Ovis aries: one gene and its partners. The protein of the gene in region 7 purifies or fractionates together with the protein of the main gene of each other region. This does not show direct contact. Links are inferred from orthologs where the notes say so. Each region holds a gene or a part of one and is shown on either strand. Other genes may lie near its edges.

Region 1 (4,156 bases), on a different chromosome or scaffold from region 7:
CCTAGGTCAGACCTCTCTCGCTCACCACTGATCTGTGGAATCTTCCCTTGATCATGGGACAAAACATGTGTTCTAGCTAAGCATCCTTAAGCCAGGGTCTGAGCTCCCTGGATCTGGGGCTTTCTAGCATCAGTCAGAGGGAACATCTCTCGTTCTAAGGCAGCTGGTAGGACTAGGGTATGGTACCTTGACAGGCAGACATGAAGATTTGACCATCTTTGCTGTAGATGCCACAGAAAGCTTTCTGAGAGTAGGTATCGGTGAAGCCCAGATCGTTGGGCAAGAAGCTGGGGAAGCAGAAAGAAAGTGAGGGTAAGAGGAGCTCAGGATGGCTCCTTGTCCCAGTTAGTAGCATCCTAACACAGCTGGATGTGAGTACAGGGGCATTCTTCCCGGCTTTGGGTATAAGCCTTTGTCTTTGATTCATTCTATCATCCTCTCAATTGCTATACTTTTCCACTTTGCTCATTCTCAAAGCCTCAACCCCACATAACCTAACTTTAATATCCTTGAGAATCCTTTAACACTCATCCTTTTAAGGTTTAAGAAAGTTTAGACTTATCTGGCCCCTGGAATCTCTCCACCAAGCCCCATACTCACTGAGACATCACTCGAGACCGTTCTCCAAGGGAGAAGCTTCCCTGGTGGCAGAGGCCCCGTTCTCTCTAAAGGAAGGGATTGGGGAATATTGCTAGTAGAAACAGAGGGCCACCTCAGCCACACCAAGCCCCCTCCTCCAAAATATTGCTCTTGCTACAGGAATGAACCCAGCACATAGTAATATGTCCCACCAAATGCCCACTCAGGCTGGTTGAGAGTGCTCCAGCTCCAGCACTTGAGGCTTCCTTGGAAAGTTTACTTCCCTCTTCTCTGGGATTGTGGATTCTGGCTGCACTAATAGTCCTGCTGCCAGACTGGCTGGATGAGGAGAGGCCTACCTGGTGCAGCATTTGAGGAAAGCTGAGCTCCCGGGCTGCCCGCCTAAGCCCCAGCCGCCCTGTGGCCAATTCCACTTGTGTCTTGATCTCACTGCATTCCAGCTCCCGGGTGTCAGGGGTTGCATCCACTGTGAGCACCAAAGAGAAGTTTCATCCTAGGTCTTTTCCAGCCCCAGCAGATAGTTAGCAAGGCTGTGCTCAGCCTTCTCAATGTGGCTGAATATACTGGGGCTGCAAAGACTCCCTCATTCCTTGAATTATCTCAGCTTTTTCTTTCAATTTTTGCCAAAATTAATTTTTTTAAAAAAGTTTTGTAGTGGAAATCCTTTGATGTCAGGGTCTCTGTCTGTCTTTCCTCTTACCTGGTGGATTGTATCGGTCTCCAAGACGACCATCCCAGGCACTGTCATGCTCTTCCTCTGAGTCCGAGAGGGCCTGGATGAGCTGCAAATTTGCTGCACCTCCTCCCTGCACCAACCTCACTTGGCCTCTGTGGAGAGACCCCCCCACCCCGTGATAAAGGGGAGGATCCCTTCCCCAGACCAACCAAATTCAGAGTCAATGGTTATGTAGTTCATAGACCACCTTGTCCTCAAACCCCTGTACTGTCCCCATGTTGAGGTTTGAGGCTGACTAGACCATGGCTGTTATTTTGTCTCCTATAAGACACACCAGGAAGCTAATTTTCACTCTTACAAGAGGAGCAGAAAACCCCAGCATTGCATGGATGTTGGCTAATCTACTGATTTGACTTCCCAGAGAGTTAGAAATTCTGAGAGCATTTCCTTCTGAGTCTCTGCCCAAGGAGTCTAGCATAGGACATGGTTTTCTGAAGGGATTCTCAAGCCTGCCTTCTCCCTCAAGGAGCCATAGCTAAGAACCAAAGCCAGTTGCACCCCCTTTCCAGGCAATTGCCAGTGGTCACTTCCCTCAAAGCATTCTTTCTTCAGGAACAGGATTAGAGTTAGGTTAATTTAAACTTGTTTTTCAAGTAAATCCATGTGGCCTCATATCATGTGTCAATGACTTCATTTAAATTCAACACCCACTTCCCCAACTCTTTTCTTCACCCCTCATAGCACTTCCTTCCCACCAGGACACCCCTCCCTCTTTTTTCTTTTACTTACTTGGAAAATAGGTTACATGTGTGTAGTCATAGCTAGACTCCCTTGAATAGTCCCCTCAACACAAGAGCAAATCATCCTGCTGACCCTGCCTAGGGGAGTGCTGCCAGTGTCCAGCAGAGAAGGCTGTTCTGCTCAAACAGAACAGCTATCCTGGGCTGATCCCATTTTCTATTCTCTGTAACTTCCCCGACGGGAGCTGGTATCAAGGGACTGTGGTGGTGCCTGGTGGGGACACACCAAGGGGTAAGTTACCTGCGTAGGAGATAGGCCAGTACCTGGGCCAGATCCACATCTTCATCCTCCTCTTCCTCCTCCTCACTCCTACGCAGGCCAGCCCCTCTTCGGGGCAAGCCCTCGGAGGGGTCTCCGGACCCAGTTCCTGCGCTGCTACTGTTACGTGATCCCATCTTCTGGTCACAGCATCCTTAAGTCCTGTGTGGGGACTCCTCCTGTCACCTCCTTGGGTTTGGTGAAAGCAAAGCCTGCTCTAGAAACACCAGAGTTTCCTGAGATCGATAGTAGCTATCTCTAGGAGGGCGACCCTTCCTAGGTATTGAGATCCCTTCTCCTCAGCCTGTAACAACTCCCAAGGCTTCGGGAACACAAACCTTTCCCAATCCTGTGAAGCAAAATAAGCAGAGTGAAACCTAGGGCATGACCCTAGCTCACTAGTGAAAATCCTTTGAACAGGAATTTCTCAGTTTTCCACCTCAAACTCACCTATCAAAGTCCCTGGGGTGGGGGTGGATTCCCAGGTAACCTCTCCGGCGAACCAATCAAAACCCCTCGCGGATGGAAAGGCGCCTCATTAGCTTACCCACCTAGCCAATCAGAAGCCTTAGAACTCAGAGACCCCCTCGACGCCCCCCTTGCCGGCCAATTAGAGCACTCCCTTGCGAGAGCCGGTGGCAGCAACAACCAATGAGGTTAAAATTCGGCCTAACACCCCCCCCCTTCCTTGCCTCACGCCCACGTGGTGTTCCGGGGGTGTGTACGCTAAGCGGGGGCAGGCAGGGAGGAAGCCGAGAAGCACCTCCCACATAGTTTGCGGTTACCGCCACGCGCGAGACCACCCACCAGCGAGAAGCAGTCGCAGGACCAGCAGCGGCGCGAGGCCTTGTTTACACGGACTGCCGCCGCAGCGTCGGCTAACAGCTTCTCCGTCACGCGCCGCCTTCGTCACGCATCTCCCCGCTCCGCGACCGGCGGATTACGGACGTCACGCGACAGCCCTGACGGCCCAGCCCTCTTGGCCAGCTTACTGGACAGCTGAGCGCGGTGATTGACAGACGGGCGGGAGAAAGTGCGCGAGGGGTTTGAGGGGAGGAGAAAGCGCGCAGCCCAGTAGGGGCGACCGCTCCTTGTGGGAGGAGTATGTAGGGAACCGGGTGCTTCCTGAATTTGAGACCACGGAACTAGACTAGATGAGCGAGGGGCGGGGCTTACAAAAGACGTTGGCGCGCTTCCGTGAGGTGTCTTAACAAGGGATACAATTTGCTGTCGGTCCCTTGGGTTAGCTTGGCTTCGCACTTTTCAGACGACCTCTAAGGACCTACTCTTTCCTTCCCTTTTCCCCTTTCGGCTCTATCCTCTCTCTCTTCGCCGACTGCAGCTACTGCCGTCCCTGCCCTAAGGGGTGCCCGGCGCCTTTGGGAAGTGTTCACGTCATAGGCCCTCCACCCTCCCTTCCGGACTTAGCTTCCGGAAGCCTTGTTCTTGTAGGGTTTGCCGTTTCTAGACCTCCTGTTAACAGCTTTGGCAACTTTTTAGGTGACCCCTGTCGGTCTTTGCTGACGTTCCCTAACACAGACACGGGTCTCCTTTGGCCTTTACTTTTTGTCTGTTCCCCTCAGCCGCCCCCTGGGCCCTCTGGGATTTGCGGACTTTCTTTAGATCTTCTGTGCTTCGGGTGCCTCTCCGCCCCAGGCCGGCCCTGGCGCGCGGCGCCTCCTGCCCCCTCCTCCCGGTTTATGAGTAACTGGGCTAAGTCCAAGGCCGCGACTTGTGTACTTTGGGATCCTTGCCCTTGCTGGGGTTGGGTGTGTGTGTCTGTGCGGGGGAGTGTTGATTGTTCGTGCCGGGCGCGGGCGC
Region 2 (4,196 bases), on a different chromosome or scaffold from region 7:
TATAGTTTGTATCTAAAGATAATTATAACAAGAAGCAAAACAGAGGAGTTTTTACTTCTTTAAAAAATTAACATAATTATAATAACCAACAGATAAAGTCAGATGACTCCCCGTATCTTTCTCTGACTAAAAGTTAAATCCTATGAAGGCAGAGATTTTTGTCTATTTTTTCACTATGATGTATCCCCACTGCCTAGTCCATAGCTGGTGCTTAAAAAATACTTGTTGAATCAATGAATGCCTCCCTAATCTCTCCACTGAATTCCAGACTTGGGTATCCAACCGCCTGCTTCTCACCTCTACATGAATACTGAATAGGTCCTACTTCAAATGTCCCATCCAACCCTACACCCATACAACAACCTGCTTCCCTCACTTCCCCGTCTCAATTCACGGCGTCACAGCGTCACCACGTTCCAAGTGAAGCCTCAAACCCAGGAGTCACCCCCATCCCAGCCAACCGCGTTCCCATCCGAACCAGGCCAGATCACTGCTTTCAACTCCAAAATAGACCTCAGCATCTTTTTTCTTTGCCTTTGGTCACTACTCAGACCTGCCGCAGCCTTCTCACCAGTAGGCCTGCTTCTTTCCTCTTATCCAACCTCCTTCAGGTCAGATTGTAAACCAGACCATATCACTCCCAGCTTTGCAAAAAGGGAACAGCTTTTCAATGATCCTCAAGAATAAAAGCCAAACACACTCCTCTGGATAACAGACCTCACATGACCTGACCCATGGCTACCACCTAACCTTTTCTTTCTCACGAGGGTCTCAGCCCAACTTCAGTGAGTTGCTTTCAGTTTGCTGAACCTAAGCTTGAAACTACCTTTGGACATATCCATTTGCTGTTCCCTCAGACTTGCAGAGGCCATATTCTTCCCACTTTTCAGATATCAGGTCAAAAGTCTCCTCAGACAGGTCTTTCCTGACCACAGCATCTGAAGCAGTCTCTCCTCGTCACTACCACGCCTTCCTATTTTACTTCTTTTATAGCATTTTGGATTGGCTGAAACTTTTTCTATTTCTTACTTTCTGGCTTTCCCTTACCTCCCAGAACTGAAGCTCCTGGAGAGCAGAACTTTCACATGTCCTGTTTATGGCTGTATCCCTAAGGCCTCAGGTAATGCTTGTCATACAAACCAGGTGCTTAATAAATAGTGAACTGACAAAGGCAAGGCAAAACAGACTTTGAAGAAGGCCTACAACATTCCATTTAGTGACACTGGTGAAGATTAAAAAAAAACATGAAAAAACTACCTTCCCACAGAAAACACTTAAAAATCACCAGAGGCTGGAGAATGAAGCAAAAGTATTTCAGATGCATGTGAGCATTCAGACATAGAAAGGGTATTTTTCACATACTATGTACAGATGTCCTTCCAACTTATAAACAGTATCTGGGGTAGGGAAGAGTAACTGAGAACACCGTGTACATCTGCTATTTCATCTCTGACTCTTTTGGAAGGGTCTTCCAACACCGTATTTGGGCAAAAGAGGCAAAATATAAACAATCTATTTGATTGTCTGCCTTGGAAAGAAACGTGAGATAGTAAGGAAGAGAGAGCAGTCTTTTGAGTGTTCTTAAATGCCTATTATGTAGTGGGTGATAAGTCAGAACTAAGTGATTATTTCCCCTATCTTACTATGTATAGATCTGGGACTGTTCTAGTTCAAAGATGTTTACACTGTAAAACCAAAGTCTGTAGTGAATGTTAATAGTTTTTAATCTTATAATCAAAATGTAAACTTCCAAGGTTCTCCCTTACAACTAGGTATTAGTACTCCCTGGGGAAAGGAGAGGATTTAACGACAAAACAGTCTGCAACTCACAAATGTTTTCTGTACATGCACGTTTTTGCAGGGTGGTAGGGAATGGTCCAGACTCCCTGGTGTGTATCTAAGTGCTCTTAAGAGTCTAAGGATCTTATTTCACCAGACCCCAAGGGTTGAGACAGGTCTAGCATGCACGCAGGGCACTCCTCCCCAGAGCTATCAATCTTCGCTGTCTGCGGAAACAAAAGTGAAGACACTCGTGGTAAGGATGTAAGAGATTGATGCCCCCCGCCCCCGACCCCTCACACCGCAAACACACAGAGCTGTGTAACCGCATGGGCGCGTAAATAAAAGAGAACACGCACTCGCACCTTTCCTCCCTGGGAGCAAAATGGGGCCGAGGGAGGGGCGGCCAAGGCCGGCTGGAGGCCCGGGATACAGTCCGGGGGCGGCCAGGCTCCGGGGCCAGCGCTCCTGGAGCCAGGGTCACCCTCAGGACACCCGGTCCCCGGCCTCCCCCCATGCCTCCCCTCCCCCTCCGCGCCCCCAACTCCTCTCCCCGCCCCAGCCCCGCCACCCACTAACCGGGAGAGGAAGTTTCCCGGAGCCCGCAGCTGGCTCCGGGCCTTCAGCGGGTTACCTGCTGCAGAGGCGGGACCCGGGGCAGGGAGCAGGGGAGGGAGACAGTCCGAGGGCGCGCAGGACGGTGCCCGGCGAGGAGGGTGGGCGGCGGCGGCTGTCAGCTCCGTCCCTGCTCACCGCGCTGCCATTACTGCGCGCAGGCGCCTCCCCGCCGGCCGCCACCACCGCCGAGGAGCGGGGGGGGGGCCGGCCCGGGGCCGGGGGGCCAGGGCGCTCACCTGCCGTCGCGGGAACACGGGACAGCTCCCGGATGGAACGGCGCAGTGGGGAGCGGACAGGGGAGAAGGGCGGGCGAGCCACGCGAGCGGTGAAACAACCGTCCTCCGAGGTCCTGCTTTCCCGGCACACCCTCGGGGTTCCTCTTCCGCGACCACCAAACACCCCCGTCCTGTGCCGGCGTTGGTAGAGTCCGAGTACGGCGAGGGCCGAGGGCCACTCTTGTGCGGTGGCGGAAGGCCGAGGGAATCTTGCTCCAAGCCACTGCGAGCGGCCCCAGCTGCCCACGAGCGCTCGTGGTTCGCTGAGCTGGCGACTGAGGACCCCTTAAGTCCAGGGGCGGCTGATAACAATGTGTTAGAAAAGTGGTTTCAACACAGGATTTTCCCCTAAAGTTCTTTTAGAACTACGTGAACATTCTGATACACCACCATCTCCTTGCCACCTACTTACTTCTGTGGGCTTTTCAAAGGATTGATAGGTATTAGCAAAATTAGTTTCCTCGGAGTATCCTTTTCTGGTGGGTTTTTATCTGTAGACATTCTGAGACATAAATAATGTATTTTCAGTAGAGGCCCGTCCCTTCACAGCCTGTGACCCCAACTCCCCGCCTCCCTGCACCTGTCAATCCAAGGGTGTCCTTCGCCTACAAATGCTCAGGGTGATGTTGACAAAAGTTCAGACAGTACCCATCTCCTCCCTAGTACGCACAGCGCCCCAGGGAACAAAAGCCTGGCTTTATTCTTTTATCAGCCTTTGGTATCCAAAGATCTCAGAAGTCAGTCTTCTCTGTGCGTTTTAAGCCTTTCCCATCCAACACCCTTTCTTAAAACTCTGTACCATTCCTTCAATGCATGCGTGTAGGCTTAGTCTCTTCAGTCGTGTCCGACTCTTTGGGACCCCATGGACTGTAGCCTGCCAGGCTCTACTGTCCATGGGACTTTCCAAGCAAGAATACTGGAGTCAGTTCCATTCCCTCAAGGTCCACGTAAAATCTCCCGACCTGGTAAATCCCACGGATCTTTCTCCTCTTCTAATCTGCCTCTCACAGCACTTGAAGTCTGCAGTACTTATTCTAAGAAAGCTATCATGTGTTAAAATCAATCCCACATATGACCTGTTTTCTCACATGGTCTCTTTCTTTTAATCCAGCAATTCTCAAAGTATGGCCCTCAGACCTCTGGAAATCTGAGATCTTTTCAGGGGTCCCGATGTTAAAAACAATCATCTTTGTAAATGACACGTTCTTTGTTATTTTTTTCTGGGTTCACAAAACTCGGCTGACATCTCTCTCCTCAGGCAGAATCAAGAGGGAGGCAAGAGACATTCCCTAGCCAACCAGTGGTTAGGCCTCTGCACTTTTACTGCCTGGGCCTGGGTTTGATTCCTGGTGGGAAAACTAAGATGCCACAAGGTGCCTGGCAAGGCCAAAACAAAAAAAAAGAGGGTGGCACAAATCTGTCCTGTTGGTCATTGCACTGAAGCCATACACTCCCAGTTTGGTACTTTGTTCTTGTTTTGTATTAGGAATATCCTTGGTGAAGTAGTAAAAAGTACTAATTTTA
Region 3 (3,500 bases), on a different chromosome or scaffold from region 7:
ACCCTCGCTGCCCCCGCTCCCGAGCCCCGCAGGCTTCCTCGGCCCCCTGCAGCCTCTGAGCCCAGGAGCGCCGGTGGTCCGCCTGGTCAGAGCCCGTGCTCTTGCCCGGCTGCGCAAGCTGGGACGACCCTCGCTGCACTCCTCCTCTCCCAGGGAAGGCCCTGGGACTCTGGCCTGTTCCTGCCATCCCTCCACGCCCGGCCAGTCCTGCAGCGCCGGCACGCGTGTGCACGCACACCCCAGGGGGAGGGGGGAGACGAGTGTCAACCAGCAGGCACAGACGGGGCGTGGAGGTTTTCCAGGAAAGAGTGTCAGCTTGCACGGTCACACCCGCCCTGGGAGCGTGAGCGCGCCAGGCAGAGTGTGGGGAGGGGTGCAGAGCCGTCCCATCGCGTGGGGAGATGTGGGAAGGGGCGCTGAGTCTGGGACAGCCGTGACAGACCCGGGGTGGGGGGGATTGGAGACACAGGCTGGAGGCTGAGAGGGACGGAGCTGGGGCTTCCAGGGAACATGTGCGTTCGGGGTACAGGCAAGAGGAAAAGGAGGAGAGGACGCGACAGAGACTGCCTGGGGCCAGAAACGGGGGACTCCAGGAGACTCTGCCCTGCGAACAGGAAGGGTGGGTCCGGGCAGCAGCACATCTGCCCGGGTGCCAGGCCCTGGGCCTAGCTGTCGCCCCGGAGGCCCTGGGCCCACGCCGGCAGGCACACCCCATCCCCCTCACAGGGCCCGTCTCAGCCACACAACGCCGTCCCTGCCCTCTCAGGCCCTGGCTCTGGTATGTCGGGTGGGAGCATCAGCCAGCCAAGGAAGCTCGAGGCTCCCACACAGGAGCTTTTTAAACCAGCGCCTCCGTGACAGGCAGCCGGCAGAGACAGACCAGGAGCGCCCGCTGTGAACGCTGCTCCGAGAAGACGCGGATGGTCAGGGCTCAGCGAGCGTGGCTGCCACGCTCCCTGCGGTGCGTGGGGCCTGGAGCAGGAGCGCGTGGCAGCAGGGTCTGGCTCCCGAGCGCGCTCACCTCTGGAGTCAGGTGCACCTCCACGGGCGTGTACGTCGGCCAGTAGCCCATGGTCAGGATGTTCACGGTCAGGTCTATGGAGCCCGGGTCACTCTGGTTCTGCATGTACTGCACAGACAGGAAGCCGGGACAGACGGCCACTTTAGAGCAGCGCCCAGAACTGACCTCCAGAAACCGATGACCCCATTTCCCAGCTACAGCTCACCTTGCGTTTCATTTGTTCGAGCCCCTGGAACATAGCCCACTGAGGCCACACGCCCTGGTCAAACGCCACTGGGAACGTCTCTCTTCACTTCTGCCCCAGATACGGGCCATTAAGCTCATTTAAGCCAGAGTTCCAAGTGCACTTTTAGGAATTAGTTTTCTTTTCTTGTTTTCCAACTGCGCCACACAACCGGCAGAACCCTAGTTCCCAGACTGAGGACTGAATCTAGGCCCTCGGTAGTGGAAACCTGGGGTCCTAACCACTGCACCAACAGGGAATCCCGGGGGGTTATGTTTCTTTTTCATTTTGAAGTGTTCTGAGTACGTGGAGCATCAACAGCGTGATTTTTAAAGACGAGGATTTTACACAGGTCACATACTTACATGCAAAATCATTTCACAGAATCTGAAATAGCGTGTTTTTAAAAGAGCTGTTTCACTTGAACACAACTTGCCTGCTTGAAATGAACCATGATGTCCTTGGAGAGCTCCATGTCCTTGAACATGCCCTCCAGCTTGCTGGTGAATGCGGCCCCGCACTCTGCACAAAGCGGACGGCGGGTGAGCATCAGGAAGGCCCTGAGTGGGGCGCTCACCCCCACCCCCGGCGCTTACCGTGCTTCAGCTTCGACAGCATGGATTTCTCAGCGTCGACGGAGGCACTTTTTCCAACCAGGAGTCTTTTTGCTAGATCTTTTTTGTAAAAAGCTTCAAACACGTCTTTACCTATTTATAAGCAAGAACCATGTGAGACATTTAACAGTTGCCGTCAAAATGTTCACCTCAGCTTCTGACTCGGCCCAAGAGGCGACCACGCGCGTGTGCCAGCCAGCTCTTCCCGCTGAATCCCCACAAACCCCCTTGCTGCGCGCACAGCGGCTGCCACCGCGGTCCCATGCCGCGGACGCGCTGGGGGCCCAGCTCACCGTGGATGAACCGGAACAGGATCATGACTTTGTCCAGCATCCTCTCCAGCTCCTCGTCTGTCGCCTCCTTGTTCCCTGCTCTGAGCTTTGAGTCTACGTGCTTTGCTGTAGGAGAGGATATCATTTGAAAAATAAGCATTCACTCCACAATACGATACATATTCTAAATACAAAAAGGAAGGTCTTTAATTTCTCCAAGAAAAAACACTTGGAACCTTCCCAAACTGACATGTTATTTTGTAACAAAAAGGCAAACACCTGATGTTCTAAGATCTGTGCTTTCCAGGCTCGGAGAACACACCCCGCGGTCCCACACTGGAGCTTCCTGGCACACGACCGCTCCAGAAGCCGGAGCAGCCCGCCAGCAGGATTTGCGGAGACGTGCGGGCAAGGCTTCCTTACGCGGGAGCACTCCCCTCAGGGCTGACCCCTCAGGCACAGAGTGGGTCCGCCTGCCCTCCTGCTTTCGAGACGCACAGGCTGCCTCGACCTGCCCAAAGGAAGGGAGAACCCGAGCTCCCCAGAGTCCGAATGTGTCTTTAGAGAAACCACAGTCTATAAAGTGGCACAAAGGCCAAATCAAACAGGTGCATTTGAACGTCTCCTTCCGCTGGCTCGTCTTAGCCCCTCCCCTCATTGTCTTGATTCTGAGCGCCACAAATGTACGCACTTGTAACCTCCACTTTCCCACCAGGCGCCTTCACCAGCCCACACCGGAGCTCAGCCCTATGCCACGGCCTCACACCTCCCTGCCCACTGCCTCTGGACAATTCCAAAAAAACTGCCTCACTGATGAGACTCCATGAATCCTGGTATATTTTGATGTTATCAGGAAATAAGTATACAAAGGGATCATTTGAAAGAGTGCCAATCAATCGCACCACATTTAACACTGACTGGGGGATACAAGGTCGAGCCTGAACAGCCATCTCCTGTCAGGCGCTGTCGAGAGGCCAACAGTCACCCTCCTAACATTCCTACACGACAAACCCAGGCCAGCTTCTGGGCAGGAAGAGCTCTGGGGCCGGGGCCGTGCAGGCGAGGAGAAATCTGCTGGTCTCATCCTGCTCCTGAGACGTCAGGCTCCATCTTGTCACAAAACCATCACCACACGCTCCCAATGGAAACATCACGTGCTCACATATGGATTCAGCACACAGAAGCGCACGCTGGTGTCTGTGGCTTCCGGAAAGGCGGCCCTCTCAGGCCCGCCCACCCTCCCCGTGCGGCGCGTGCTCCAGGGGAAGCCTGTGCGCGAGCCTGCTCCCTACCGATCAGCTCCGCGGGCTTGTTGGGCCGCTTGTTGATGAATGTCTCGAAGGACTCTTTCATCAGGTTGATGAACTTCT
Region 4 (2,504 bases), on a different chromosome or scaffold from region 7:
CGCCTTACTGGTTTCTGTAAAGTACAAGTGCCTGAAGGAAGACAGACTTTTTCCCTCTTCCTTCTTTCTCCCTGAACCCTTGACATAAACCCTGTGATCCAGAGTGTGGATTTGGACATACTGTTAGGAGTAATTCTTCTGACCTGCTCGTGGCAGTGTAGGAATTCTCATGTCTGTGCAGAGGAAGTTGATGGTATACTTTTCTCATACTGAATACTGCCTGACTCCCAAGCCTATTGCCTTGTAGCAAATCTCTGTTTTTTAGTGTTTAAAAGCAAATATTAACACATTTCTGTTTTAAACTTCTTTTATAATGAATTTTAATCTCCAGTAAGGCAGATGAATGCCTTTTGTTGACTAAGAAGAGACCTTGTACTGGAAAAGACAAAAGAGAAAATATTTAGTAATTTTCTAATTATCTATATTATATAGATTAATAGTAATTAAATCATCAAGGAAATTATTAATAAAATTGACTTAAATGAAAAGTGCTTACTCCTCCAGAAAGTTGAACCATTTAGTCGAGTCATTATAAACTGAAGGTACTTGATAATAAGTACAGCTCATTAATCTGATAAGTATATAAAGAGTAGTGATTGTTAATTTTTAAAACAGAGCAACTAAAGCAACTGACTGCTACTACTATGCAAAGAAATAACTGTAAATACAAGGGGAAAAGTATGTAAAAAGGGATATGAGTAATTTTGCTTTTCTTTATTTTTCAGAATATCCATAATATGCAGATTTTGTTTTCCACAGTGAAAAGAAGATACTTTTGTTTGTTACAGGTCTCAAGGTTAATCCAGTGATTGCTAATCATTTGGATAGATGTTGGATAGAGGATAAAAAACATTAAAAGTCATTTTTCGTTTTGTTTTACTTAAAATAATTTAATACTTTATTTTTATTTTTTCTTTTAGGAAGCTATCATACAAATAATGAAGATGAGAAAGAAAATTAGTAATGCTCAGCTGCAGACTGAATTAGTAGAAATTTTGAAAAACATGTTCCTGCCACAAAAGAAAATGATTAAAGAGCAAATAGAATGGCTAATAGAGCACAAATACATCAGAAGAGATGAATCTGATATCAACACTTTCATATATATGGCGTAATTTTGAATATCATGGACAATATTAAGAACCCAAATTTTGGAGTGCTTCGGCAGAAAGTTCTTACAGTTTGTGCTAGGGGAAGGTTTAGTTGGACTTCGATTACATAAATATTAAAATCTCTGCCTTACCTAACAAAACAACTATATTTTGCCAATCACATTAGTTAGCATGGTGGCATTCCTTTCATGTTGCACCACTCTGTTTTAACAGCATGCTGTTTTGTGAGAAACTTGCATTCACAAAGAGCCCATTATGAGCTTTTAAAATCCTGGTTTATACCCACCAGAAGAAATAACAGTTGGGAGGGTGAAAGTGGGGTTCTTGTTGCCTTTTTTTTCCTTTTTTTTCTCCTGTCTTAGAAAAATGTATTTGCACAAGGAAGGATCTTCAGATGTTTGTGCACTGAAAAATGCTGTTATGTTTTGTTTTTGTTTTTAAATTCAATTAAAACTAGAAATAGCACTCTTGATTTCTTTTGATCAAAAGAGTGAGCTGGTCTACACAACATTGGGACAGGGCAGATATAGATGAACAGATAAGTATTTAGTATTATCATATGTTCAAACACTGCTTCAGTATAACAACTGGATTTTAGTGGGGACTTCAAAGTGATAGTAAATTTTTCCAACTAAGAAATGTTGGCTTTCGTTAAGCAGGAGACTACTGTTTTAGTTGTTCATTGTTAAATGGAGTGGTTTTTTTTTTTTTTTTCTAATCTTATATGGCCAGAGAGTTTGTTTTGAAAAAGTGAAGCTCATATTATTATTTTAGTTGTTTAAAAAAATGTATGGAGATAGATCATTTCAACTTCAGAGTCAAAAATAGCAAAACTCGCATATTAAGTGTTTACTAAGACACTTAATATTATATACCTAATATTTATTATGCTACACTCAAATTCATTAAAAAATAAGGCAGAAATCTCCTGCTTTAATATAATACAATTATATAACTGACCTCTTAATCTGTAGCATAGAAATACTTTGAAGTTTTAAAGTCTCATTATTAGGGATTTGTAGCCTCAGGTTTCTGGAAAGGAAGATATTCTGTTTTAAAAAGTAATAATTATCAGTCACCTACGAGGTAAAGAAAAACCACAACATAGACCTGAAAAGCATAAGCAGAATTGTTGCAATCTTAATATGAACAATAAACTTGCCAAATAATATGTATATATATATATTTATATATTTTGAAAGTAAGCATTTAAATAATGTTCAGAACCAACACTTAAACTTCTTTCTTTCAGTCAATCCAAAGTAGCAACTTTTTAGTTGCTGGCAACTGAATACCCAGAGTAATGGAGATTTTAGGACTTGAAGACATGAACAACTTAAAAAAGGAAAACTTATTCCCCACTGGGAAAGAATGGCTCAACATGGATTTTAT
Region 5 (4,134 bases), on a different chromosome or scaffold from region 7:
TCTGGATTCTGGGAAATGGTGGCTGCAGACCCAACAGCCTTTCTGGAAGTTGGCACGAGCCCTGCCCTCAGTCTGCTTTGTGAAGTAAGCTCAGGTCCAGTTCAGCAGTCACCAGCTCTGCACTAATGCCCTTCCCGCCCCAGGCTCTGTTTCTGAATCCCACGTGGCGTTTACTTGTGTCCTCGGGCTCCTCCCAGGACCGTCCTGGGGACCTGCCGGTGTCCTGGACCTGAGGCATGCCCCACTGGGTTTATCTGGTTATTTTCTCCAGGTGGACTGGTTTCCTGGGACTCCTCTAACAAGTTACCGCAAATTGGGTGACTTGAGAGAATCTCACGTTCTGGAGGCTGCAGGTCCAAGATCAGGGACACGCTCCCTGCAAGGCTCTGCCCTTCTCAGCTTCTGGGGGCCCCAGGCAGACTGTGGCTTGTGGACACATCCCTCCAGTCTCTGCCCGGTCCCTCTTCTCCATGTCTCTCACATGGGCACTTGACACTTGTTGGATTTAGTGCCGTTCAGATTATCCAGGATGATCTCTTCTTGAAACTCTTAACCACATCTGCAAAGACCCTTTTCCCAATAAGGTCCCGTTCATGGGTTCTGGGCATTGGGACTTGGACACAACTTGGGGGCCACCATCAACCCACGACACTGGGACTCAGGGCTGGGGGTGGAGCACACCGGGGGGAGGAGTCTTTCCTGCTGGGGGTGCTGACGCCCCCAGGACCATCAACTTAGCCACTTGGTTAAGGGGCATCTGCCGGGTTTCCCCAAGATGGGGTTCCAATCTGCTCCTTACAAGCCACTCCCTTAATGCAGCCCATCCGGGAGGGAGGCGGGGGTGAGGTCCAGCCTGGAGCTGGGCGCATGCTGTGAGGAATTCTCCCCACTTCTGTCTGCTCCAGCAGCAATGCTCCAGAGTGTTTCCTGGAGCACCGGGTTACATCCCCACCAGCCTGTGGGGCCAGCCTGTGGAGGATGAGCCCAGGCACTGTGATTAGGACCTGGTTAGTCCCAGGGTTGGTTGGTCACAGGGTCCACCCTCCCAGTGGCTCCAGGAAGGAAGTGTCTAATGGTCGGTCCCAGGTCACAGAGGTGGAGGGAAACTGAGGCTCAGGAGAGCCCAGGGTCACTCACGCACCTGATCGCGGCAGGTAACATTTCACAATGCAAATGAAACAACAACCCAAAGGCTGAATAGAAAAGGAACTAGAACCTTCCATCAAAAGGATCCACAGAGCAGGAATATCAAACAAGAAAGGCATGACAGAGGCTGGGGCTCCTGGGTCACAAGGCAACCAGTCCTCTGGGGAATTCGCAGGGGAAGGGAGAGGGTTAGGGCAGGGACAAGCCCCAGGAGGTCCTGGGGACGCCCTCACAGGCCTGGAACCTTCCTCGGACAGGAATCTAGTCCCAATTGCACATAAATAACCAGGAAAGGGCCAGAGAGAAGAATCTCGAAGACACAGGCCAAGTAAAAGCCACATGCCAGAATGGTGAAGACAAGCCTCACAGCGGGTTGGGGACTCTCCAGGCAGAGTTGCAAGAACCCCCAGCCCCCTCCCCCAACAGAACCCTCCCAGCATCCCCCAGCAAGCAGTTGGCAGGGTGGTCTGATACCAGCCCCGCCCCACCCAGGAGTCTGGAGGCTGCACCCCTGAGACTGGCAGAGATGTGGGCCTGCACCAAGGAAAACCCCATTCAAGAGAAGACCTGGGATGTACGGTGTCAGGGTCTGGGGTTCACGAGGTGGGAGTTGAGCGGGGCTCTGGGGGGTCCCAGCCCCAGGAGGGGGAACTCGGGGGAGGAGGTCACTGGGGCCCAGTGGAGGAGGCGGAAGGAGATGGGGTCTCTGCAGGTCCTTCGGCTGTCCAGGCTGGGGTCTGCAAGGCCTGGAAAGCCTGGCAGGGGTTGAAGGGTCACAGAGATGCAGCAAGTGAAAGAGGTCAGCGCACCTGGGAGATTTCGGGCATGAGCGCAGGGTCAGGGATCATAGAGCCAGGAGACTCCAATGAGGGTGGAGGGGCAGGGGTCGCAGGAGCGGACCATGGCTGGTATCTGGAAGTCCCGGCTGGACGGAGGCCTGGCAGGGTCACAGGGCCTTAAGGGTGCTGAGACCCGGGGGCGGTGGGGGAGGGCAGGGCCCCAGGACAGCAGGGGTTCCAGGAATGGCTGGTGCTGGGTCCCCGGGGCTGGCGGTTTTCCTGAGGGGAGACGGGGAGCGGGATCCCAGGAATGACTGAATCCTGGGGAGGGGGGTGGGGGTAGGGGTCCGGTCCCGGGGATGACCGGGTCCCGGGAAGCGGCAGCGTCTTGGGGGATGACGGAGTCCCGGGGGGCGGGCCTCGGTGCTAACCCGGTCCCAGGTCGGGCGGCGGTCCCGGACGGCGGCCCACCTGTGCGCCGGGATGCGCTGCGCGCCGAGCCCCTTGCCCACCAGGAAGTGCACGTCGCAGAGCACCTCGTTGTTGAAGAGGAAGGCGAAGCGCTCCTTCACCGTGGGCTTGGTGGCCTGCCAGTTGTAGACCGGCTCGCGGAGCAGCGCGGCCGCCCCCGGCTCCTCGGCCGCCCGCTCCCCGCCCGCCGCGGCCTGCGCGCCCGGCCCCGACACCGACACCGGCGGGGGCGGCCCGGGGACAGCGGGGGCCGGGGCGGCGGCGGCGGCGGCCGCGTTGCCGGGGGCCGGGGCGGCGTTGGCGCTGGGCCCGGGGCCGGCCCCCGCGCCCGGGCCGACCCCCGGCGGGCACGACGCGCGCCCGCCGCTCCCACCCGCCGCCATCTTGTCGGTGCGGCGCCCGGCGGGGCGGGCCGGGCGGGGGAGGGGCGGGAGGAGAGGGGAGGAGCGAGGAGACGGGGCACGGAGGGGAGAGGGGCGGAGCGGGAGGGGAGAGGGAGGGGCGGGGCGGGGGCAAGCAGAGGCCGATGGAGACCGTACCTCAGACCCCGGGCCTAGACCCCAGAGCCCCGACCTCAGACATGGGACCCCTCACGTGCTAGATCTCGTACTTCAGACCTGGGACCCCGACCCCAGATTCTAAATCCTGTACCTCAGACCCACAACCCCGGGTTCTAGATCTGTTGCCTCAGAAGCTGGACCCCGGGTTCTAGATCTGTTACCTCAGATCCCCAACCCCGGGTTCTAAATCCTGCACCTCAGACCCCTAACTCCGGGTTATAGATCTGTTAGACACTGGACCTCCAGATTCCAGGTCCTTAACCTCAGATCCCGGACCCCGGATTCTAGATCCTCTACCTCAGACCCCAGATCCCAGATCCTGGACCTCAGAACCCGGGTACTAAACCCAGACCCCTTACTTCAGACTCTATGTCCCAGATCCAGAAATTGTGACCCCAGACCTCAAACCTCAAAACCCTGACCTCAGATTTGGAATCACCAGTCTAGATCCTAGATCCTCAACTGCAGGGGCTGCAGGCCTCAGACCTCAGTCCCCATAATCCCACTCCTACATCCTGGGCCTCAGAACCCATGCTCTGGATCCCAACTCCAGACCTCAGATTCCAGACCCGGGACGCCAGAACTAAGACCCCAACTCCATTCCCTAAACCCCAGATCCCAATCTCTGACCCATGACCCCCAAACACAAATGCAGACCCAACTCCAGAGTCCAAACCCCATAGCTGGGACCCTGGACCTTAGCCCCAACCCCAGGTGGTCAGCTGAGGGGACTCCACAGTGGGGGTAGCGCTGAATGCAGGGGAGGGCTGTGCATCCCAGAATCAACAGAGATACAGGTCCCTCCTCTGAGCCAGGTGTCAGTTGCCCGGTGTCCACAGAGCTGCAACCCACAAACAGCTAACTGCACCCACAATGTCAGAGTGCCCTAATGCCTTGAAGAAGAAGCACAGGCAGCTAGGAGACCATAAAACAGGGTCTCTTGAGCAACCTGGGGGTCACAACCTGGAGATGCAGCCTGAGGAATGTAACAGAAGGTATGACTTCAGGGGTGCAGGGGCAGCTTGGAGGCTTTCCTAAAGGAAGGGAGGCTGACCAGTGACTCAGGAGTCAAGAAGATGAACAGGGAGTGGGGGGTGGGTACCCTGTTTAATATCCCAGAAGGCAGGGGCTGAGTAGAGAGGGAGACATAAGGGTGTTTTCACCAGACCCTACCTGAA
Region 6 (3,500 bases), on a different chromosome or scaffold from region 7:
GCCATGAGTTTGATCAATCTATGGTTGGGAACTAAGAACCCACATGCCACAAGGTCAAAACAAAACAACAAAAAGCAAGTCTTAGATGTAATTGAGCACTGTGTTTTCAGTTCATTATTTCCTGATTATCTTTCCTCAAATGGAAATTTGTGAGGACAATAAGAGTAAAGACATAAAGAAATTTTATTTACGTTAGTGGTACAATGTAGATTTGGACCCTAATTAGAGGTAAAAAGTGAAATTTTACGTTTCCCTAGAGGCAAGATGAACAAAACCCAACAAATCTACAAAACATAGGCATTCCATTTTAAGCTGGTTTAAAAAGTGAGGGACAGAGGGAGGAAAAGATGAAAATACAAGGTTTTTTTGTTTTTAAAAGGATATTCTCTGAACTGATGAATCTGTGCTTTGATGTGATCTTCACAAATCTGTCTCAGCTGTTTGTACAAGTTTGCAGAAATCTTGTAAGAACAGAGATTTTCCACAGCCTGCAAAATTAAACACATACTTTCTTAAGGAGTGAATGTATCTCTGTATATATATTTCTTGATTATTTACATCTAATTCCTATTATTTGTTATTTCTACCATGTTAACTTATTAAAAAGGATGTCATCCATTTAAAACACAAGGTAAAACCACCAAATATCAATGCAATTAGTGAACTTTTTTCATAACCAGTGTAGTATACCACCCCTCCCCAAATCTGTTTATTCTGGCAGTACAGTTTAAGTATGGGGGGAATCAAGCCAAATTCTCCACTTGTAAAGACACTGAATTTATAACAACTGCTACATATAAACTCTGTCTTATTCATAAAAATGTTAATTGTTTTTCTAAGCAGAATTCCATTTTGAGTTTGAAAAATAATTTTACCAACTGTTTATTAGATAGTTTGGGGAGAAGGGAAAGGCTACCTACTCCAGTATTCTGGCCTAGAGAATTCCATGGACTGTATAGTCCATGGGGTTGCAAGGAGTTGGACACAACTGAGTGACTTTCACTTTCACTGGGCAGTCCAACTACCACTGAATTTAAATTTATTTATACTTTCTTTGGTTTTCCTGAACAGAGCAATCCAGAATTTGTTGCAAGCAGTGTTATAAGAATGAAATAATTATACAAGGATTTATCTCCAACACTGCAGCTTAAGAATATTTAAATAGCCATTTTAAAATTTTGCACAATGGAATAAACATTAACTCCTAAAGAAATACTGAATTTTTATTTTTTCTAATTGTTGGATTGGTCTTTTATAGTCAAATCCCAAAAGGACAAAACTGAGATTTCACTGAGTTTCTTCTTAGGTGTATCAAAAGACTTTCAAATTTAATACAACAGGCATGGTAGAACTCTGAAATAATCTACAATTCCAACTAGTAATGACTTAAGTATAACACCAGGATTTCTTTCTCACCACAAGAGAAGGCAAAAATTCCATTAAAATTGACTCTAAGGGACCATCCAAGTCCTGTTGGTTGGATTGAAATTTTATAAATATGTAGTTGGAAGTCATATTCCCAGCATGCAGGTCCAGCAAATAAACTCATAAATGAAAAGAAAGCTTAAATGAAACCACTTATACTAAAGGAGGAAAGGTGCTACACCTTACCAGCAAACAGCAGACCACTTAGACCCAGCAGCTAACGAGGAATAAGGAAGCGAAGTTCCTGCTGGCCACCACTTACGATGGGGCCTTGGGTCAGGCCACAAATGTCTAAGAGTGCGTTTATTTCATGTGCCTGACTGGTTCACAATGATCCCCTATGGACTCTCTTCCTCCTTTAGTAGTCTTCTCATTGTATCTTGGTGTTCCTTTTGAATGATTGATTTTCTCAGCGTTTCTTGTTTCCCTGCTTAAGTTGTCTTTGTAGTGCATTTTCTTCACATTTCCCACTTCAAGTACTTTTCCAAGTCCTACTTCTACCATTCCCTTCTGCTGTGATACTTTCTTCCATACGTTAGTTCTCATCCCACCTGTTTATCTTCTCATACAGGATACCACATTCCCTTACTACTCAGCTAGGTTCCACTTCTTCCAATAAACTTTCCTTAACTGTCTCAGCTACCAATGACTCGTATGGCACTACCAACAGTCATACCATACTGACCTGTCACTGAATCAACACTGTATCTTTGAATGTGTATATCCTGGCCCCCAACTCTCCTTAATGACAGAAAGAGACCAGACCATGGGCTCATGTACCTGTATGTTCTTTAATACTTCTGGGGCTCTAAACCAGGAGAATATAATAAATATTCAAAAAACTAATGTACTTATAACTAGCAATGTGTCCTACACACAGAAGAGGCTTACAGCATAAAGTGAAAACTGGTCAGAAAATATGTAATTACAACACACTATTAGGTGCTATGATGGGGATAAACATAGAGGTGAGGTCTCTAACTCAATCTTTATGGCAGGGAAAAGTCAGGAAAGGCTTGCTGAGCAGCAGTAAAGAGGTGGAGTTCCAAAGACCCAGAGGGATGTGGATAAAGAGCTTATGGGAATAGTGAGAAAAAGAGAATTGGGCCCAGGTGGAGCAATGGTAGAGAATCCACCTGCCAATGCAGGAGATTCAAGAGATGCAGGTTCGATCCCTGAGTTGGGAAGATGCCCTGGAGTAGGAAATGGCAACCCGCTCCAGTACTCCTGCCTGAAGAACTCAATGGACAGAGGAGCCTGGCAGGCTACAGTCCATGAAAAATGAAAGTGAAAGTGAAGTCGCTCAGTCATGTCCGACTGCGACCCTGTGGACTGTAGCCCACCAGGCTTCTCCATCCATGGGATTCTCCAGGCAAGAATACTGGAGTGGGTTACCATTTGGACACAACTGAGCAACCAAGTGTGTGTGCATGCACATTATATGCATATGGCTTCACGTGTGCTTAGAAAGCGGTTTAAGATTGTTGTTGTTCATTCACCAAGTCGTGTCCGATTCTTGGCAACCCCATGGACTGCAGCACACCAGGCTTCCCTGTCCCTCACCATCTCCTGGAGTTTGCCCAAGTTCACGTCCATTGCATTGGTGAAGCCATTCAACCATCTCATCCTCTGTCACCAGGTTTAAGTTATTAGAAGCAATAAAAGAAGGAAAGGCCAAGGCAGGAGGATCTAAGGTGAATTTTGAAGGTCAAGATGGAACAGAACCCCTTACTAGTCTCTAATTTAGCCTTGACTGCTTAACATATAGACCAGATTGAGTAATTTTCCATCTTTAAGAACTTTTCCATCAAGCTCTTCAGGTATTGTTATGGAGAAATTGCCTAACAGGTATAAAAAAATACAAAGGACTGCATGGTGTGGTGCTGAATAGTGGTCTACTATCATTTATGTATATATAAAAAAGAAAATTGAGAAAACCTCCACACATCTGTTTTTGCACACATGAAACATTTCTGGAATGATACCCCTAATAACATTTGTTTGCTGGGGCAGGGAGGTTGGAGTGGAAATGAAACTTTTCACTACGTGCTCTCTCATAGTTTTTGGGTTTTGAG
Region 7 (4,217 bases):
TGTGCTCCCTGTTCTTTTAATGGGAAAGCACAGCCAGCAGAGATCTTTATCCGCCAGCCACAGCCAGCAGAAGTGTCCGCAGCGAAGGCCCTGTTCCGAGTGTGCGCCATCTAAAGCAGTGGCTACTGAGTCTTCAAGATGCTGCATGTATGACAGAGGAGCTGAATCCTGAATGTCACTTATTTGTAAAGATTTACACTCAGACACACAACAGCCACTGACCACCATCCTGCGAGTGCAGGCTAGACCTCGGGCTCTGACAGCACCTTCCTCCTGACACACCCCTGTCTCAGGAGCACCAGCTCAAGTGAAGCCAGACCCTCACTTCAGGTCAATTTGTTCTCAGTTCATCTACATTATTTCAACTTCCACAACAACCATAAAATCCCAATCTATGACACTAAAACATCAAGAGAAAAAAAAAACAACCGTCAAGTACATAGTCACAAGAGTTCAAAAGGCCAACTGGAATAACGTCTGTTTAACTTGGTCTTAAACCAGCTTAAACTTGTCTGCAGGGTGCTCTGGATTACTTGGAACTTCACTCAGCTCGGCCTCCTGCCATGTCCTGCCACTCTTTCCTCTTTTCAATTCAGAAAATGGGGAGAATACCATGGATCACACGAATAAAAGTACTCAGATAAACACAAACTACAGTGCCACAACTGAGATCACCATTTTTTTAAAACATTTCAAAATTTGTATTAAGAATTTTAAAAAACAATAAAGCAGAGCAAAAAATACAAGCAATGATTAGCTGCAATGAGGTAAAGGTAACTGCTACAACGTGACTTTAGTTGTGCCAAAGAGCTCACTGTCGTTTACAGGGCTTGCTTCCTACACCAAACAAAGCCAGAGAATGCAGCGTTGAGGCTGAGCGAGCACAAAGCCGTGAAGGAAGACGCCCTTACAAGACAGCGAGGACGCCCAAGGAGTGCTCCTGGACGTCCAGGGCCCCGAGCACGGTATCCAGATGGGATAAGTTCTTCGCCAGAAGCTCCCCACTCTTGTTGATCAGTTCACAAAGCTGAGTCATTTGCCCTGGAAAACAAGAATGATACTTCCATTCAGAACAGCATTCACCAGACCAAAAGATGTCATACCTCAGACCTGCCAGTGCCTAACGGTGATTTCCTCCAACTCCTTCATTTCAGATGAGGACCCAGAAGGGCCAGAGACACCAAATGATTTTGCCTTTGGCCTCAGTGCTAAGTCTCCCACTTTCCTCTGGCCGCCGAAGGTTTCGCACTCCCACTTCCAGTGCCCCAACCCAGCAGAGTGCACATTACCATCAGCACCAACTCATCTCCCTTCTGTATCCAAAATGTCACCAGCTCTGACTTCATCTCACTCCTCAGCCTCTCAGTCCACACTTTCCTCTCCCCTCCGCCTTCATTCCCACGCCTGTCACTTTCAATCTGCACGCCATCATCTTCTGAGCAGCCCCCTTCTTCCTTCTCTACCCCAGCCCTCACTCCACACCAGCACCAGTCTGTGCAGGAGGCGTGAGGCACATCAGTCAGAGGCAGGGCAAGTGACCTGCCCGTCTCTGCTGGGCAGCCTGCTCCTACAGCAGCAGCCTGCACAAAATGTGTGTGTGAAGCTTCCAGGCGAAGCGATCCTGTTTGATGCTCACCAGCACGGCCCCGGCTCTGTTTTGTAAGTAAGAAAATTGAACCTGGGAAATGAGTTGTTTGGTTAGTCACCAAGTGACTGAGACAGGTGCATGCGTGTTCAGCAGCTAAAGTAAGTCATGTCCAACTCTCTGCAGCCCACCAGGCTCCTCTGTCCATGGGATTCTCCAGGCAAGAATACTGGAGTGGGTTGCCATTTTCTCCTCCATGGGATCTTCCTGACCCAGGGATCGAAGGGGATCTCCCACATTGGCAGGCAGATTCCTTACCACTCGGCCCAACTGAGACAGGACTTTAACCCAAACCTTCTAACCTCACGTCACCTCGGGAAACTACAGTCTGTGGCACAAACAAATGAGTGAGTGTCTTCCTCACTCCCAGAGACTCCCAGCCTCACTCCTGACCCTAACTCCTACCAGTTAAGAGAAACGAGGCAGAACCGTTGCGCCGCGCAGCGCCAGGAACCGAAGCAACCTCGGGGCAGCCTGGCGGGCAGCACCTGGGTCCTTACACCGGGAGACGCGATTCCCGAGAGAAGGGTGTCTGAGCAAGGTCACGCGGCTCCTGGAACCTTAACGGTTCCTCCCGCTCACTCCTGACAAGCCCGCGCAGTCCGGACGTTTCTATTTCACAGATGAACCAACAGGGTGAGGAAAGGGGCCTCACAACAGCGGCCAGTTACTTTAATTCTGGGCCCAGGGCACGTCACTCAGGCGATGAGAGGAACCAACCAAAGGCATGAAAATTAGGGGCAAATTCACAGCGGCCACAACTCCGCCCCCCGAAAAGGGAGCCGGGAGCCAGGGCCCTCGGGGGTCGAGCGCGGCCAGCCGCGAGGGGCCCGGCCGCGCGGCCAAGTCGGGAAGGGCCTCCGGGAAGCGAGACGCACCGAGCTCCGACGGCGGGGGGCGGAGGCCGGGGCCTGGGCGAAGGGGTGGTCCATCTCGCGCGCTCCTCAGCCCCGGCCCAAGCTCCAAGACCCCCGCCGCAGCCCGGACGCAGGTTCGCGGCCCGCGCCCATCGCCTCACCTTGGGCGGAGAGCTGGCGGACGCTGTTGACGAACTGCTCCAGGGCGGACGCCATGTTCCCGGTAGCCGGGCGACGGAGGCGGCGCGCGCGAGACGAGGGCCGGCGACCCACCGGAGGGCCTCAGGGCGGTGACGTCACTTCCGCCGCTCAAGCGCCGCGAGATCTACCTACCTGGACCCGGCTACTGTTTCCATGGAACCGGTTCTGCGGATGCCCGCGCCGGAAAGCAGGTTTTTTTCCCTTCCGTTTTCGTTCTGTGCACACGTGAAGTCGCTCCCTGGATTTAAAGGGGATGGTGGGCAAAGGAAGGAACTGAACGCCTAGCTGTTGTTCAGTCGCTCTGTCGTGTCCGACTCATTACGACCCTATAGACTGTTTAGCCCGCCAGGTTCCTCTGTCCATGGGATTTCCCAGGCAAGAATGTTGGAGTGGGTAGCCATTTCCTTCTCCAGGGGATCTTCCCCACTCAGGGAACCCGCCTGTCTTAATCGCAACCTCTTCCCTGAGGCTTTTCCAGCCAGGTAGTAGTTGTCCAGACAGGAAGGCAACCTGCCTTCAAATCCCTTTTCTAGCACTTAGTAGCTCCATGACTCTCGGCAAGCTCCTTGGCTGTCCGCTGCCTTGTTTCCCCATCTGTAAAATCCTCACGATAAACTACGTAAAATACTTATGGCTGGAGAGGGGTGATGTGAGATGGGGCTGCAAGATAAACAGGGGCCATGTCAAGTAAGCCGTGTTAAAGCTACTGGATTTTTCCTTGAGAAGATTGGGGAGCAATGGAGAGTTTCATGCAAGCGAGTGGCATGATCAGACTTGAATATGGAAAAGACTGGCTTCACATGGATAACCTCAGAGAATCATTTAAGAAGCTATTGCAGTACTGAGTTGACATGAAATATAATAGTAATAATTGTATGTTGGTATAGCGGTAGAAATAAATGGATGTATTTGTATATATGAATGTATAGATGATGACATGTACGGATGAATGACTTTAACGCTTATACTGTAGGACAGAGATATCCCTGTGTGCTGTATGGCCACAATTGATTCTCAAACAGAGAACAGATATTTTGAATTATAGGATACATTTCCATGGATATACATGGATTTTAATAAAAGCCAGAACTTTCCAGAGAAGTTAAGCACTATAAGAGTTCAAAATAGCCACAGCTACTGTGTGCTGCACTCCATGCGGTCGCAAAGGGTCGCACGTGACTGAGCAACTGAACTGAACTGGACTAGTCATACTTCAGTTTTTTTTTTTTTTTTGCCTATTTACTGGGATCTGTTCTCAAAGTGTGATCCCCAGCCAAGAGCAGCAGCAGCACCTGGGAACTTTTTTTTTTTTTTTTTTTTAAGATTTATTTGGCTGTGTCAGGTCTTCCTTGTGTCATGTGGGATCTTTCCTTGTGACCCACAGGCTCTCTGGGGCTTCCCAGGTGGTGCTAGTGGTAAGAACCTGCCTGCCAGTGCAGGAGACCTAAAAGACGCAGGTTCAATCCCTAGGTCGGGAAGATCTGCTGGAGGAGAGCACAGCAACCCACTCCACT

Evidence for each region.
Region 1: the proteins of COPS3 (region 7) and DCAF11 purify together in Homo sapiens (affinity purification with mass spectrometry; 3 studies listed by BioGRID and IntAct, counting the BioPlex papers as one, with this or other methods). This does not show direct contact. The link is inferred for Ovis aries from reciprocal best matches to the Homo sapiens genes COPS3 and DCAF11.
Region 2: the proteins of COPS3 (region 7) and CUL2 purify together in Homo sapiens (affinity purification with mass spectrometry; 5 studies listed by BioGRID and IntAct, counting the BioPlex papers as one, with this or other methods). This does not show direct contact. The link is inferred for Ovis aries from reciprocal best matches to the Homo sapiens genes COPS3 and CUL2.
Region 3: the proteins of COPS3 (region 7) and CUL4A purify together in Homo sapiens (affinity purification with mass spectrometry; 10 studies listed by BioGRID and IntAct, counting the BioPlex papers as one, with this or other methods). This does not show direct contact. The link is inferred for Ovis aries from reciprocal best matches to the Homo sapiens genes COPS3 and CUL4A.
Region 4: the proteins of COPS3 (region 7) and CUL5 purify together in Homo sapiens (affinity purification with mass spectrometry; 3 studies listed by BioGRID and IntAct, with this or other methods). This does not show direct contact. The link is inferred for Ovis aries from reciprocal best matches to the Homo sapiens genes COPS3 and CUL5.
Region 5: the proteins of COPS3 (region 7) and BTBD2 purify together in Homo sapiens (affinity purification with mass spectrometry; 3 studies listed by BioGRID and IntAct, counting the BioPlex papers as one, with this or other methods). This does not show direct contact. The link is inferred for Ovis aries from reciprocal best matches to the Homo sapiens genes COPS3 and BTBD2.
Region 6: the proteins of COPS3 (region 7) and CUL4B purify together in Homo sapiens (affinity purification with mass spectrometry; 11 studies listed by BioGRID and IntAct, counting the BioPlex papers as one, with this or other methods). This does not show direct contact. The link is inferred for Ovis aries from reciprocal best matches to the Homo sapiens genes COPS3 and CUL4B.

The regions. Positions count from the first base shown.
Region 1 is NC_056060.1:20,842,409-20,846,564, forward strand, and holds the start of DCAF11 (DDB1- and CUL4-associated factor 11), read right to left. Parts: upstream 2,801-4,156; 5' UTR 2,473-2,800; coding exon 2,318-2,472; intron 1,429-2,317; coding exon 1,301-1,428; intron 1,067-1,300; coding exon 939-1,066; intron 666-938; coding exon 601-665; intron 288-600; coding exon 187-287; intron 1-186. UniProt on the Homo sapiens protein: May function as a substrate receptor for CUL4-DDB1 E3 ubiquitin-protein ligase complex.
Region 2 is NC_056066.1:17,650,754-17,654,949, reverse strand, and holds the start of CUL2 (cullin-2), read right to left. Parts: upstream 2,801-4,196; 5' UTR 2,634-2,800; intron 2,548-2,633; exon of another isoform or gene 2,359-2,547; intron 2,007-2,358; 5' UTR 1,831-2,006; intron 1-1,830.
Region 3 is NC_056063.1:85,900,618-85,904,117, reverse strand, and holds part of CUL4A (cullin-4A), read right to left. Parts: coding exon 3,423-3,500; intron 2,257-3,422; coding exon 2,152-2,256; intron 1,952-2,151; coding exon 1,841-1,951; intron 1,767-1,840; coding exon 1,681-1,766; intron 1,130-1,680; coding exon 1,022-1,129; intron 1-1,021. UniProt on the Homo sapiens protein: Core component of multiple cullin-RING-based E3 ubiquitin-protein ligase complexes which mediate the ubiquitination of target proteins. As a scaffold protein may contribute to catalysis through positioning of the substrate and the ubiquitin-conjugating enzyme.
Region 4 is NC_056068.1:17,395,703-17,398,206, forward strand, and holds part of CUL5 (cullin-5), read left to right. Parts: intron 1-920; coding exon 921-1,115; 3' UTR 1,116-2,504. UniProt on the Homo sapiens protein: Core component of multiple cullin-5-RING E3 ubiquitin-protein ligase complexes (ECS complexes, also named CRL5 complexes), which mediate the ubiquitination and subsequent proteasomal degradation of target proteins.
Region 5 is NC_056058.1:41,967,343-41,971,476, forward strand, and holds the start of BTBD2 (BTB/POZ domain-containing protein 2), read right to left. Parts: upstream 2,801-4,134; 5' UTR 2,780-2,800; coding exon 2,397-2,779; intron 1-2,396.
Region 6 is NC_056080.1:104,877,681-104,881,180, forward strand, and holds part of CUL4B (cullin-4B), read right to left. Parts: intron 489-3,500; coding exon 384-488; intron 1-383.
Region 7 is NC_056064.1:34,632,738-34,636,954, reverse strand, and holds the start of COPS3 (COP9 signalosome complex subunit 3), read right to left. Parts: upstream 2,801-4,217; 5' UTR 2,719-2,800; coding exon 2,664-2,718; intron 1,042-2,663; coding exon 912-1,041; intron 1-911. UniProt on the Homo sapiens protein: Component of the COP9 signalosome complex (CSN), a complex involved in various cellular and developmental processes.